3 linked regions of the Xenopus tropicalis genome follow. The protein of the gene in region 1 interacts with the protein of each later gene in a pairwise test. Links are inferred from orthologs where the notes say so. Each region holds a gene or a part of one and is shown in the gene's direction. Other genes may lie near its edges. The genes, in order: abtb1, cul3 and eef1a2.

What was found.
Region 2: the proteins of abtb1 (region 1) and cul3 interact in binary tests that used the Homo sapiens proteins (3 or more experiments, as listed by UniProt). The two-hybrid records come from large-scale screens. The link is inferred for Xenopus tropicalis from reciprocal best matches to the Homo sapiens genes ABTB1 and CUL3.
Region 3: the proteins of abtb1 (region 1) and eef1a2 interact in binary tests that used the Homo sapiens proteins (3 or more experiments, as listed by UniProt). The two-hybrid records come from large-scale screens. The link is inferred for Xenopus tropicalis from reciprocal best matches to the Homo sapiens genes ABTB1 and EEF1A2.

What each region holds. Positions count from the first base shown.
Region 1 is NC_030680.2:134,786,697-134,790,347, forward strand, and holds part of abtb1 (ankyrin repeat and BTB/POZ domain-containing protein 1), read left to right. Parts: intron 1-2,573; coding exon 2,574-2,636; intron 2,637-3,357; coding exon 3,358-3,413; intron 3,414-3,651. UniProt on the Homo sapiens protein: May act as a mediator of the PTEN growth-suppressive signaling pathway. May play a role in developmental processes.
Region 2 is NC_030681.2:123,798,097-123,801,747, forward strand, and holds part of cul3 (cullin-3), read left to right. Parts: intron 1-2,357; coding exon 2,358-2,555; intron 2,556-3,651. UniProt on the Homo sapiens protein: Core component of multiple cullin-RING-based BCR (BTB-CUL3-RBX1) E3 ubiquitin-protein ligase complexes which mediate the ubiquitination and subsequent proteasomal degradation of target proteins.
Region 3 is NC_030686.2:2,005,806-2,010,223, forward strand, and holds the end of eef1a2 (elongation factor Tu, mitochondrial), read left to right. Parts: coding exon 1-54; intron 55-2,254; coding exon 2,255-2,405; intron 2,406-2,483; coding exon 2,484-2,740; intron 2,741-3,070; coding exon 3,071-3,305; intron 3,306-3,564; coding exon 3,565-3,692; 3' UTR 3,693-3,913; downstream 3,914-4,418. UniProt on the Homo sapiens protein: Translation elongation factor that catalyzes the GTP-dependent binding of aminoacyl-tRNA (aa-tRNA) to the A-site of ribosomes during the elongation phase of protein synthesis.

The sequences.
Region 1 (3,651 bases):
CCAACCATACATGGTGCTAATTGATAGTTGTGAGGAGTACGCTGATGTTAAACATGTGGCTGAGCCTGATTTGCCTCTGCCAGCTAAATCACAAATGGAAAGACCAGAGCACATTCTTGATGTTACGTTTGCCCATTTATTTGGGTTCCCAAACCAAAATTTGTTAAAGAGCCCCACACAACGTGGAATCTGCTCCTTTAAATAGTATGAATAAATAGCATTTTTATATGCTGAAATACAGCTGCAAAACAGTTCTTCTGTTTCTGCAGTATTTGAAACCCTGGCGGGGAGGAGGGACTAAAACATTGATGTTACAAATTGTAATAACTTCACACAGCTTACAGACAGCATGCAGGAACTACATAACCCACAATGCATTGCACCGTAATGTTCCTTTCCTTATTGACATCACGTGTGCAGGGAATTGTGGGATTGGGAGGATGCAGGCTGAAGGCAGGCTGAGGACAGGTGACTACTGTTACATTTATTTTAGTGTCAAAGTAGTCAGCCGGATTTGTATGCTTCATACAGATAAAATGAATCCATCTGAGCACTGATCTATACTGTCTGTGTACTTGAGCTCAGATGAGGTGCATGGCTGCCGAGTCTCCTACTTGTAGTCACAGGGGCTACATTTTTAGACACCCATAGATGCTTAATGCAGTCTCGCACTAATCAATAAGCAACGGGGGAATGAGTGATCTCCTTTATAACCTTGTTCTATGCAATTACCACAGAGCGTTGGCCTTAGCTGTATCCCTAACCACATTAGCACCGGCTCCAAGGTAAAATATACCCTATTTGTAGGGCAACTTCAGAAAGCAACTTGTATGTTTTCCCACCACCGTTTTACATTATTTTCGGTGGGAAAACTTTGTCTCCCCATGTGCCATCACCATAAATAAAGGAATGTATGCAGAGTCACAGATACAGAACATCTCCAGTCAACCTCAGCGCTGCTCCTCCCCGGCAGCCATTCTCCAGTACATCCGAGCAACCAGTTAGCTCTCTTTTAGTAGTCTCCATGGAAATAATGAGCATTGGTAGCCACATATTGGGGGCTGAGAATCAGACCCTACACTCCGAACAGCCTTTTCATGTGCCTGCGGCTGGAACCTCTGCATGGAGCCATTTCAGCCCCAAAACGCACTCTACCCCCCAGAATCGGAGCATTTTTGCATTCAATGAAAGTCACTGTTTTTAAATAATGCACAAGTTGCATCTGCATCATAATAGGATCAGATGCCCATGGCATGGGCATAGTGTACCCACCAGCTACATGTGGGGCAGAAAGAAACAAGCCCTAGTATATGGCATTTAAACACACACATTTAAACAAGTAAGGGCAGTACCCAATAATTGTAAATGATGCCCAAACTGGAAATGGAGAGCCGGACACCCAGGTATAAACTCAGTGGGGTGCTAGCCCTCAGGAGAAATCCCATTTAGCAATTTCAAATACACATTTTATATACAGGTATGGGACCTGTTATCCAGAATGCTCGGGACCAAGGGTTTTCCGGATAAGGGATCTTTTCATAATTTGGATCTCCATAACTTAAGTCTGCTAAAAATCATTTAAATATTAAATAAACCCAATAGGATTTTTAAAAATTAGTTATTTGCTTAAAATGGAGTCCGTAATTCGGAACTTTTTGGATAACAAGTTTCTGAATAAGGGATCCCATACCTGCACAACATATCAAGAAAAGAGGATTGTGCAAACAAATTTATATGCAAAGTACAAAAATAGTTAATTAACAATGCATTACATAGTTAGAAATGCCCTACGCATTTGAAACAAAAATCTGTCTTTATTGGGGAAAATGTTTATTTTTAAAAAAGGCAAATGAGGCTCATCCTCTTGCTGAAATAGAGGAAAAAAAATAGTACAGGTATGGGATCCCTTATCCGGAAACCCGTTATCCAGAAAGCTCCGAATTACGGAAAGCCTGTCTCCCATAGACTCCATTTTAATCAAATAATTCAGAATTTTAAAACTGATTTTCTTTTTCTCTGTAATAATAAAACAGTACCTTGTAATTGATCCCAATTAAGATATAATTAATCCTTATTGGATGCAAAACAATCCTGTTGAGTTTAATTAATATTTTATTGAATTTTTAGTAGACTTAAGGTATGGAGATCCAAATTACGGAAAAACCCCTTATCCGGAATACCCTTGGTCCCGAGCATTCTGGATAATAGGTCCTATACCTGTATTTCTTTTCTTTGTAAATTGCTGGCTATGAGATGCAGCTAGGCCATGGGAATTGTCCTGTGTTGTTGGAAGTGAAAATGATTGTAGTTTCAGACTGTTTTATTGTTTTTCCTCTTATGTTTACAAACTTTTCTCCCCCCCTGACCCTGCCCATTTGGAGCCCAGCCAGGCGTGCTGCTATCTGGCAGCTGGTGACACAAGATACCTAGCACCCTGGGTGCCACATGCAGAACATTCCTCCACTTTGCCTGCTCCTGCATCCTTTCTGACAGTGGCTCTAGGCAGCCGATTCTATTGCTGAGACAGATACTGCAGAGGGCAGCATTAACTATGTGTTTTATTTTATCTGCAGACACCTTGTGGAGCAGAGAGACGTGGAACTGAATGTGCGTGATAAATGGGACAGCACACCCTTGTAAGATGTGCAGCTTTGCTAAATGGCTTTATGCATAAGAGATATGTTTAAAGGGAAACTCCAGCTTCCGAACCAAATTTGTTAAAGAGTCACACACAACACAGAAACCCCTAATATACCTATCCCTGTAATCTGTTCCTTTAAAAAGTATTAATAAATATAATTTTTATATGCTGAAATCAGCTGCAAAACAGTTCTTGTCTTTCTGCGTCATTTGAAATCCTAGCAGGGGAGGAGGGACTGAAACACTAATGTTACAAATTGGAACAACTTCTCCACAGCTTACAGACAGCATGCAGGAACCTGGATGTACTTCAAAACAAACTAAAGGTGGCCATACGCAGGCCAATAAAAGCTTCCAATGGACCATGTTGGCAGCTTATTGGCCTGTGTATGGGGCCCTTAGGCCTACCTGGCCAATACCTTGTAGAAAATAAGCAGATGTCAATTGTGCATATTTAAAAATCCTGTTGGGACAAGGAGCATATCAGGGCCTTGATGGGGTCCTCATTCCAACTGCCTCAGTGAATTGGCCCCCAGACTTAAATCAAGTCCCCAGGTTATGAAACCCTGCATTAGCCCTATTAGCTTATTATCAAAATGAAAAGGTTTTTTATGAACTGGAAATATTGGATAATACTTTTTACTGAAAAATTTGTTCAGCGATGTTTTTATAATGTTCCTATCTTCTGCTTTTATACTTTTTCTTTTTCTTCCTAAGGTACTATGCCTGTCTTTGTGGACATGAAGAACTTGTCCGTTACCTTTTAGCTAATGGTAAGTAACAGCACCCCAAAACCAAACCGAACTAAAATCCTCCATTAAATGTTGTTAGATTGGGCTTATTCCAAAAGTAATTCTGCTATAAATTCTCGTTTATTTGGCCAGTAGGGAATGGGGAAACGCACAGGGACTTGAACCGAGAATTCTCAGATTTTTAAACTCTGATAAAGAGGGACCAACTGAATGTAAACATATTGTTTTCATTAATATAAGGTTCCCTAAGCAGACAAAA
Region 2 (3,651 bases), on another chromosome or scaffold:
TGTCTTTGCCCTCTTTCTTTATTTTGGCAGCTTCTCTTTTGCTTTTTGTTCACATGCATTTAAAAATGTGAGATACATTACTGTCTAGTGCTAGGAGGGGGGCATAGTGGAGCAGTGGCAGGCAGTCCTAGCCAGGGGGTTAATTTAGGCTAGATTTGTGGAGAATGTCTATTTGTTCTCCGAGATACACCTGAAAGTCTAGCTTGAAGATCAAAAAGACCACAATTTGGGCCAAACAGTTTTATACTCTCCTACACTTATCACCATCCTATAGCAACCTATCAGCGGGTAGCATTTACTGATCATCTTTTTAAAAGCAAGCCTCCCATTGGTTACTGCTCCTGGGCGAGCTTTGTGCCTTTTATTACATATGGCGGTTAGTCTTTTGCTCATCACTCCATTGCACAAGTCCTGAAATGGCATTATATTGGTTTAGTATGCCTGAAAGCATTGGCTTTCCAACTCTAACACGAGACTACAAGGCTGTTTCTTGTGTAGTAGTGGAGTCAGGTGCTGGTGGTCCAGTAGTTGCATAGCAGATAACTGATTCTGTTTTTAGAATACAGGGGTACCTAGCGACAGTCAAAAGTTGTTCATGGCTCTCAACACAAATGTAAAGGCTTGTATACCTTTGTTACAGAAAGTAAGACCTATTGGCAGTAAATGTATGCAATTGCTGAACAGTATAAGCGAGAGAAAGTAATTTGACATTAAGAATTTTGTCTTTTTGGAACTGATTTATTTGGTTTTGCTTTTGTGTTTGCTGCAGGAGATTACAATGTGCGTGGTGTCTGTTGAGAACATGCTAGGTAGCATTGAGCTGAGCGCTGATTTGGGTTTGAAAGCACGGCTGTATGTGGGCTTAGGGTTGCCACCTGTCCTGTTTTGACCCAGACAGCCCAGTTTTTGGAAAGGCTGTCTCCAGGTCAAAACCTCCTTCCTGGTTTTCCAAATTAGGAAAAACGGGGCAGGACTCGCAGGCATTGACAGCCTCATCTCTGTGATGTCACGGCCCACCTCTTCCCCACTCCCATGATGCCACAGTCCCACCTTTTCCCCGCCCCCCACCTGGCGAAGAAAGCCAGCAGAGGTGGCAACCCTACGTGGACCTTAGCTGCTACGCAGTCTGGAGCAGTGCAAACCCTAGCCTATAGCTACTATTTTAAAGATTTAGGGGGTTATCTAATAAAAGGCACCAAGTTTGCCCAGGAGAAGGAAGCATTTATAGATCTTGTTTAAAAGCAAACATCTTATTGGTTGCTGTAGGTTACTGCTCCTGGGCAAACTTAGTGCCTTTTATTACAGGCACTAAGTTTGCCTCTAATACAGGACAAGTGGATTTTGTCCACAGGACAAGTGGATTTTTGCTTTATGCAGCCTCCCAGGTATTGGATTAAAACTGCTAAACCAAGGGATCATTAGTTGAAAAAACCCCTACATCTGAGCAAAAGTTATTCACCCATGCTGATCTTAACAAATAGCTTAACTTTTCATACAAAGCAGTAAAACCCCTCTTGCAGCAGCCCATGTGTGCTCACACAATAATGATTGTGAGAATTTGACAAAAGCAGATACCACACAGGAAATAACAAGGTTGCTTCTAAGGCCAGGGGTGCAACTCTGTGTTTTCTCTGATGGCGAACGTATGCCTACAAGATGGCTCTGGTTTGATTTTGGAAGAATAGAAATATAGTGGTAAAAGGCCATTATTTCTTAACTTTTTTTTCATGAATTGGTTCACAGGTAACATTGTAATCATGCATGTTTCTTTTGCAGCATGCCATTGTCTCTGGCTGGCAGGGTAGAGCCTTACTTATTCCATTGCCATACTGTTATAATCCTTCTGTTGGCTGGAATATTGTTTCCACTTATAGTGCACTTTGTAGGATGGTAGTGCCCACCCAAGCTCAGCATTATTTGCAAATCTAATGGTGGCCATACATGGTCTCTTAATATCCAGCTAATTTGATTGTTTGGACTTAGGAACAAATGTTCAATTTAAAATGGCGGGTATATGGGCCGTCACTGATGCAGTCCCTGATCCAACTGGAAAATCAAACCTACCCGATTGAGACCTGGGCAATTTTAGACCAGATATCGGTTGGGTGGGCCCATCGGTAGTGCCCATACACAGGCAGATAACCTGCCGAATCGGTCATTTAAATCGTCAGTTGAAATATGTTTGTGTATGGCCCCCTTTACTCTTCGTAAACTCCTGAGTTTAGTATGTTCAAATGTTAGTGCTGTGCTGGGAGGTTGTTTTGGGGGGTATAAAAAAAGGTGCAAGAAAAAAAAACTGGGTGCATGTTTGATACTAATACTGAAATTATTCCTTTTGTCGTTTCCTTTTTTCACAGATGACTATGGATGAAAAATATGTGAATAGCATTTGGGATCTCCTAAAGAATGCCATTCAAGAGATTCAGCGTAAAAATAACAGCGGGTTAAGCTTTGAAGAACTTTATAGGAATGCATATACTATGGTGCTCCATAAACATGGGGAGAAGCTGTACACAGGACTGAGAGAAGTTGTAACTGAACATCTCATAAATAAGGTAACTATTCCTATAATTCACAAGTAACTACACACCGGTATCAGAAGTTAAAACTAAACCTGTATGAGATCATTGTTTCTTAGGGCCATAGAACAGCGAAACTTATAAACTGACGGCATTTAAAAAAACGATGTTTATCAGAAATAAAAAGTCTCTTAGGGAGTTGGTGCAGCGCTCTGTTTATTTGCATTGTGGGCTTTGCGGGAGGGCTAAATGTTTGTGCACCTTCAGTTGATTAATGGTGCTGGCCATGACAAGGCACACAGCAGCTAGAAAGATACTAAAAAAATCAAAAAACTTTTGTGCCATTAGTATGACAACCATAGACATACATTACAACTAGTGTACTGTATTGTGTGTTCTTTTTGGTGAAGAGCTGTGCAACTTGTATTGCGTATACCTCAAAATTAAACAAGTGGTTTGAAACTTTACGAGATGGCAATCGTACATTCCCTCTCTCTTTCAACCAACATTTTAGCTCTTAGGTTAAAATGATTTTAATATTGTTTTACAAGATCATTTTAAATATTTAGGAAGGCTAAAATGCATTTGCTGGACTGTGCTGTACCCAAAATGCATTTATCACCTTTAAATTTAATCATTTATTTAGCTCCATCTCCCACAGGACTTGCAGTGTAAGACATTACAGTTCTCACATACACACTGATACACATTTACACATTGTTGCAGTGGTATAAGGGCTCTGGCACACAGGGAGATTAGTTGCCCGCAACAAAACTCCCTGTTCGCGGGCGACTAATCTCCCCGAGTTGCCATCACCTGCCATCCCACCGGCGAAAATGTAAGTCGCTGGTGGGATGGCACACGCGGCGGCGCGATTTCGGCAAATCGCCGAAGTTGCCTCGCGAGGCTTTTTCGGCGATTTCCCGAAATCGCGCCCTAATGAGCTTCAAGTTACTGTATAAAAAAGTAATCCATAATACTCGTGATAGCTGCAATAATTGACATTAAATGCTTCTCATAAGTTTGTGTTCATCTTTCACATGGGTGTTGATGAATGTTAGTCCTTTTTTCATCATTGAACTGCTTTAAGTCAGACATATTGGCTTTTGTGCATGACCTACTCGTTTTAAAA
Region 3 (4,418 bases), on another chromosome or scaffold:
TTCGTACCCATTTCTGGCTGGCATGGAGATAACATGTTGGAGCCCTCTCCCAATGTAAGTGGAGTCTTGTTCATGAAGGAAGGGAATAATGAATGAATCTGCCATAGGTTTGGTTTGACTAGGTCTTAGGCCGGTGATGGTTGAGGTATGTAGAGACCATGAATGTAATGGTGGAACGTTATAGAGATAACACAACTAATAGGAGAACATACAAGTGATGTTTGGTGAGTCCAGGGACTGGAAAACCTTCATGTCATCATAACAACACAGGAACAGTCATGTTTGAGAATAGATCCATTCATAAAGTATAAGCCTTTGGTCTTATAGATCCAGAGGATCCCTCAGAAGGGAAACATTCCCTTAGAACACTCAACCTACTGCAATGAGTATGATTATATGAGTATGAATGCTCATATCCAAAGTATTTTCTCAAACGCTAATCAAGCGCTCGACTCTTTCTTGAGACTTTCTATAGTATCTGCCATATCTAGGAAAAAAATCTTTTCAGAACCTAAAGGTGGAACCTTCATTATTCTGATGTCAGAAGATTCCCCATTGTCCTCTGGATTCTTTACGAACAGTGCTTTCCAGCTCATTACATGTAGTGGGCCAGTTATATGTCATATAGTGAAGTCTATGGAGTCTCTGAGCAGACTGGGGGCCATAAAAATTCTTTGACGGCCACATTTGGCCCGTGGGCCTCCAGTCAGACAGCCTTGATCTATAGAAGGATCTTCTAGTAAATAAAGCATCAAAGAGTTATATACATGGTGATCATATCTTCTCTCCTCCATTGACTAGTCCTAAATCAGCCAGTTCTTCTTCATAGCTGAGATTCTACATTCTCTTTATTACCTTAGTGGCCATTTTGTATCTCTCCGTGTTGTTTACTGGAGACCAAGACTCTGGTGGGATATGAGGCCACCAGAATGATAGAGCTAAAGCCATAATTGGGATATTATTGACCAATGGCACAAAGACTAAGAACAGTTTCAGACTAATAGTTGGTGTTGTGGAACTGGCTGGTGATTGGCTAAAGATAAGAGGGTTGTTTTTCAAATTCTGACATAGTGGGACCTGATTGGTCAGATAAAGTTTCTGTTGGCTTCAAGGCAAAATAGAATTTGGGTTATGTAGATGTTTCCAATGCTAAAGCTGTAGATATGCAATCACTATGATCAGCGATTGGTAATCCTTGAATCTGTTATTGTTTTATTGGGTCTTGCTCACCTGTAGTACCTTTGTGCAGGTTCTGACCCACAGTGAGGCCCAGTGTAACTTTCCTGCATTAGGACCGGACCGACCTCCCCTGTCAGTGTCAGGTTTAACCCCGAGTGTTGCACGTGGCTTCCCCCGTGTCCCCCCCCCCGCCCCCCATCTCCATTTAGAAATCTGTGACCGTGAGTCACCAGGTCCAAAAATCCCATGCTCATCAGATCCTATAAAACCCAGTTATAAAAAGATTGGGTCTGTGAGCCAAAAGACAAGTGTAGCCGGCCAAACATGGCCTTCCCATCGAGCTCCTGTGAGCAGGTTATACTAGAACAATGATATATTACCCATAAGGCTTTGTGGCTCATGGGATTTTAATCAATTACACCTCTTTAAATCGACTTTTGTATATAAGGTTTATGTAATCCTGGTCATGATGTCATGCTGGTGATGTCACATCAGGGGGAGTGGCAGCTAATATTTAAATTTGAGTAGAGAGAGCCTCTCATATGGAGCATGGAACAAACCCACTTACTGAGTTCTTGTTCTTAGAACATATAGAAAAGCCTTTCTGGCCTCTGGTACTCCCAGCACCCTGCAGCAGTTATTCATTTCCAGAGCATGCTGGGAACTGTAGTTCATCTATGGGAGCTTATCAATGGGGTGCAGGTTATTGCAGTTCCCAGTTGACTTTCCCCAGTCTGGACAGATTTCCTCTCTTTTTGCCATTGTGATATAAATGGAGTTTGTTCCCTGCAGGGGGCCCACTGATTATGGTTGTTCTTCCCCTTTGATCCATTAGTTCCACCCAATAGCCCCTTCCCTGCATGCACCTCTTCTCTCAGCTGTGTCAGTCACACATTTCCTCCCCTATCTATTGCACCCCTTTCCTTCTCACCATGTTGGTTCTTTCCATTCTCTTGGCCCTAACCCATTCCACTTACCCTTCCCCGAGTACAACTCTATCTTCGCTTTCCCTCTTTTGCCCCCCTTCATCCTATTTTAGTTCCTATTCACCCCCAATGTGCTTCTGGGCCTCTAGATGCCATGGTTCAAGGGATGGAAAGTGGAGAGGAAGGAAGGCAATGCCAATGGAGTTTCCCTGCTTGAGGCTTTGGACACCATCCTTCCCCCAACTCGCCCAACAGACAAACCTCTGCGTCTTCCCCTGCAAGATGTCTATAAAATTGGAGGTAATTAATATTTCTTCTGTATGGCCTCCCCATCTGCATTCTGCCCAGTTGTATTCCCAACCTGCCTTTGTGATTCAGGAATCGGCACAGTTCCAGTGGGTCGTGTAGAGACTGGCATTCTAAAGCCGGGCATGGTGGTGACCTTTGCTCCAGTCAATATCACAACTGAGGTCAAGTCCGTTGAGATGCACCATGAGGCTCTGAGCGAGGCTCTGCCTGGGGACAATGTTGGCTTCAATGTCAAGAACGTGTCAGTAAAGGACATTCGCCGAGGCAACGTTTGTGGGGACAGCAAGAGTGACCCACCCCAGGAAGCTGCTGGTTTCACTTCTCAGGTAAGAAACCGTGTCCCATTTCTCCTACAGATGTCCCTTCTTCTATAGGAGAAACCCTTAGCTACTCAGTTGCCAGCAGGTCTAAAAGTCTTGACCCCACATTGACAAATAAGGGCGCCACACGCTTTTAATGAGGAGAATAGACAAGGACGTAGTGAGAAGTGTTGGGTGATCACCAGAACTAGGGGACAGATGGAGGTCCATGTAGCCTTCCATGGTATTACAATGGTAAGGCTCAGTAAGCTGCAGGTTCAGGCAGGTACAGAAGTGAAAAACCTGTGACGGGATAAGATGGTGGTCCATACAAACGTGTTTACTCCTTATCCTCAGGTGATCATCTTAAACCACCCTGGTCAGATCAGTGCTGGATATTCCCCAGTCATTGACTGCCACACTGCCCACATCGCCTGTAAGTTTGCAGAGCTGAAAGAGAAGATCGATCGCCGGTCCGGCAAGAAGCTTGAGGACAACCCCAAGTCCCTGAAATCTGGAGACGCGGCTATTGTGGAGATGATCCCTGGGAAGCCTATGTGTGTAGAGAGCTTCTCCCAGTACCCACCTCTTGGTAAGTATCTCAAATGCCATGGCACGGGGCGAGATAACGATATTATTCTGTTACAGGTGGACATTGTTGGGTGCCAAGAAGATTGAAAGATTAGTATTTGGGAAAGATATGGAGGTGCATTGGTTGCTGTGCCATTTTTATAAATGTCCACCAAATCTGTTGACCTGAGCCCATAACCACTGCGTCTTGGCTTAAGTGACATTAGGTGCGTGATGAGATGGCACAGGTCATTGTCACCTTGTCACTATTCTCCCTCTAGGGCGCTTTGCAGTGAGAGACATGAGGCAGACTGTGGCCGTGGGAGTCATTAAGAACGTGGAGAAGAAAAGCGGAGGAGCCGGCAAGGTGACCAAGTCCGCACAGAAAGCCCAGAAGGCTGGCAAATGAATTGCCGGTTCCCTCCGTCTGGCACACAAGCCCTGCCCCTCTGGGAAGGTCCGTCCCCTTCTCTTTGAGGTGCACGCCAGCCCATCTGCTTGTAAAAGCCTGTATGTCAACGACTGGATGCTCACCATTAAAGTCCAGTGGAAGTTCTTTAAGAGGAAAAGCATGCTCCTGCTCTGTAATCTTTAGTGTCCATTTTACCAATTAAACTGGTTCAACATTCATAATGTGACGTTGTGGGGTTCTTTCCATGGGTTGTGTGGCTGGTAGAAACTCGGGGGTCCACTGAACCTTGAGAAATAGAAATAGGCAGACTTCCAGCAGCTATAGAACAAAAGGTTGCTTTCACTCAAGACAGAGGAGAAGGAAAGGCATTTTATTTTGCCAATAGTCACATCAGTGCAAGCTAGAATGTTATATTTATTCTGCAGAAAGCTTTACCTTACCTGAGTAAACAGCCATTGAAGCCCCCTCTGTTTGTTTAAGATAGCAGCTGCCATTTTAGCTTGGTCTCAGTAGCTTCCCTGCTGTGGTTCTGGCTGCTGGTAGCTCAGATTACAGCAGAAAGGGGAGGGGGAGAGAGCAGAGATGGGAGGGGAAGAGAGCAGAGAGGGGAGGGGGAGAGAGGAGCAAACTGAGCATGTTCGTGTTGTGCCCTGAAGGATTCATATAACAGTGAGTGTTATCCTTATTGAGTAGAAAACTGCTATTTATTCTGCATGTACTGCA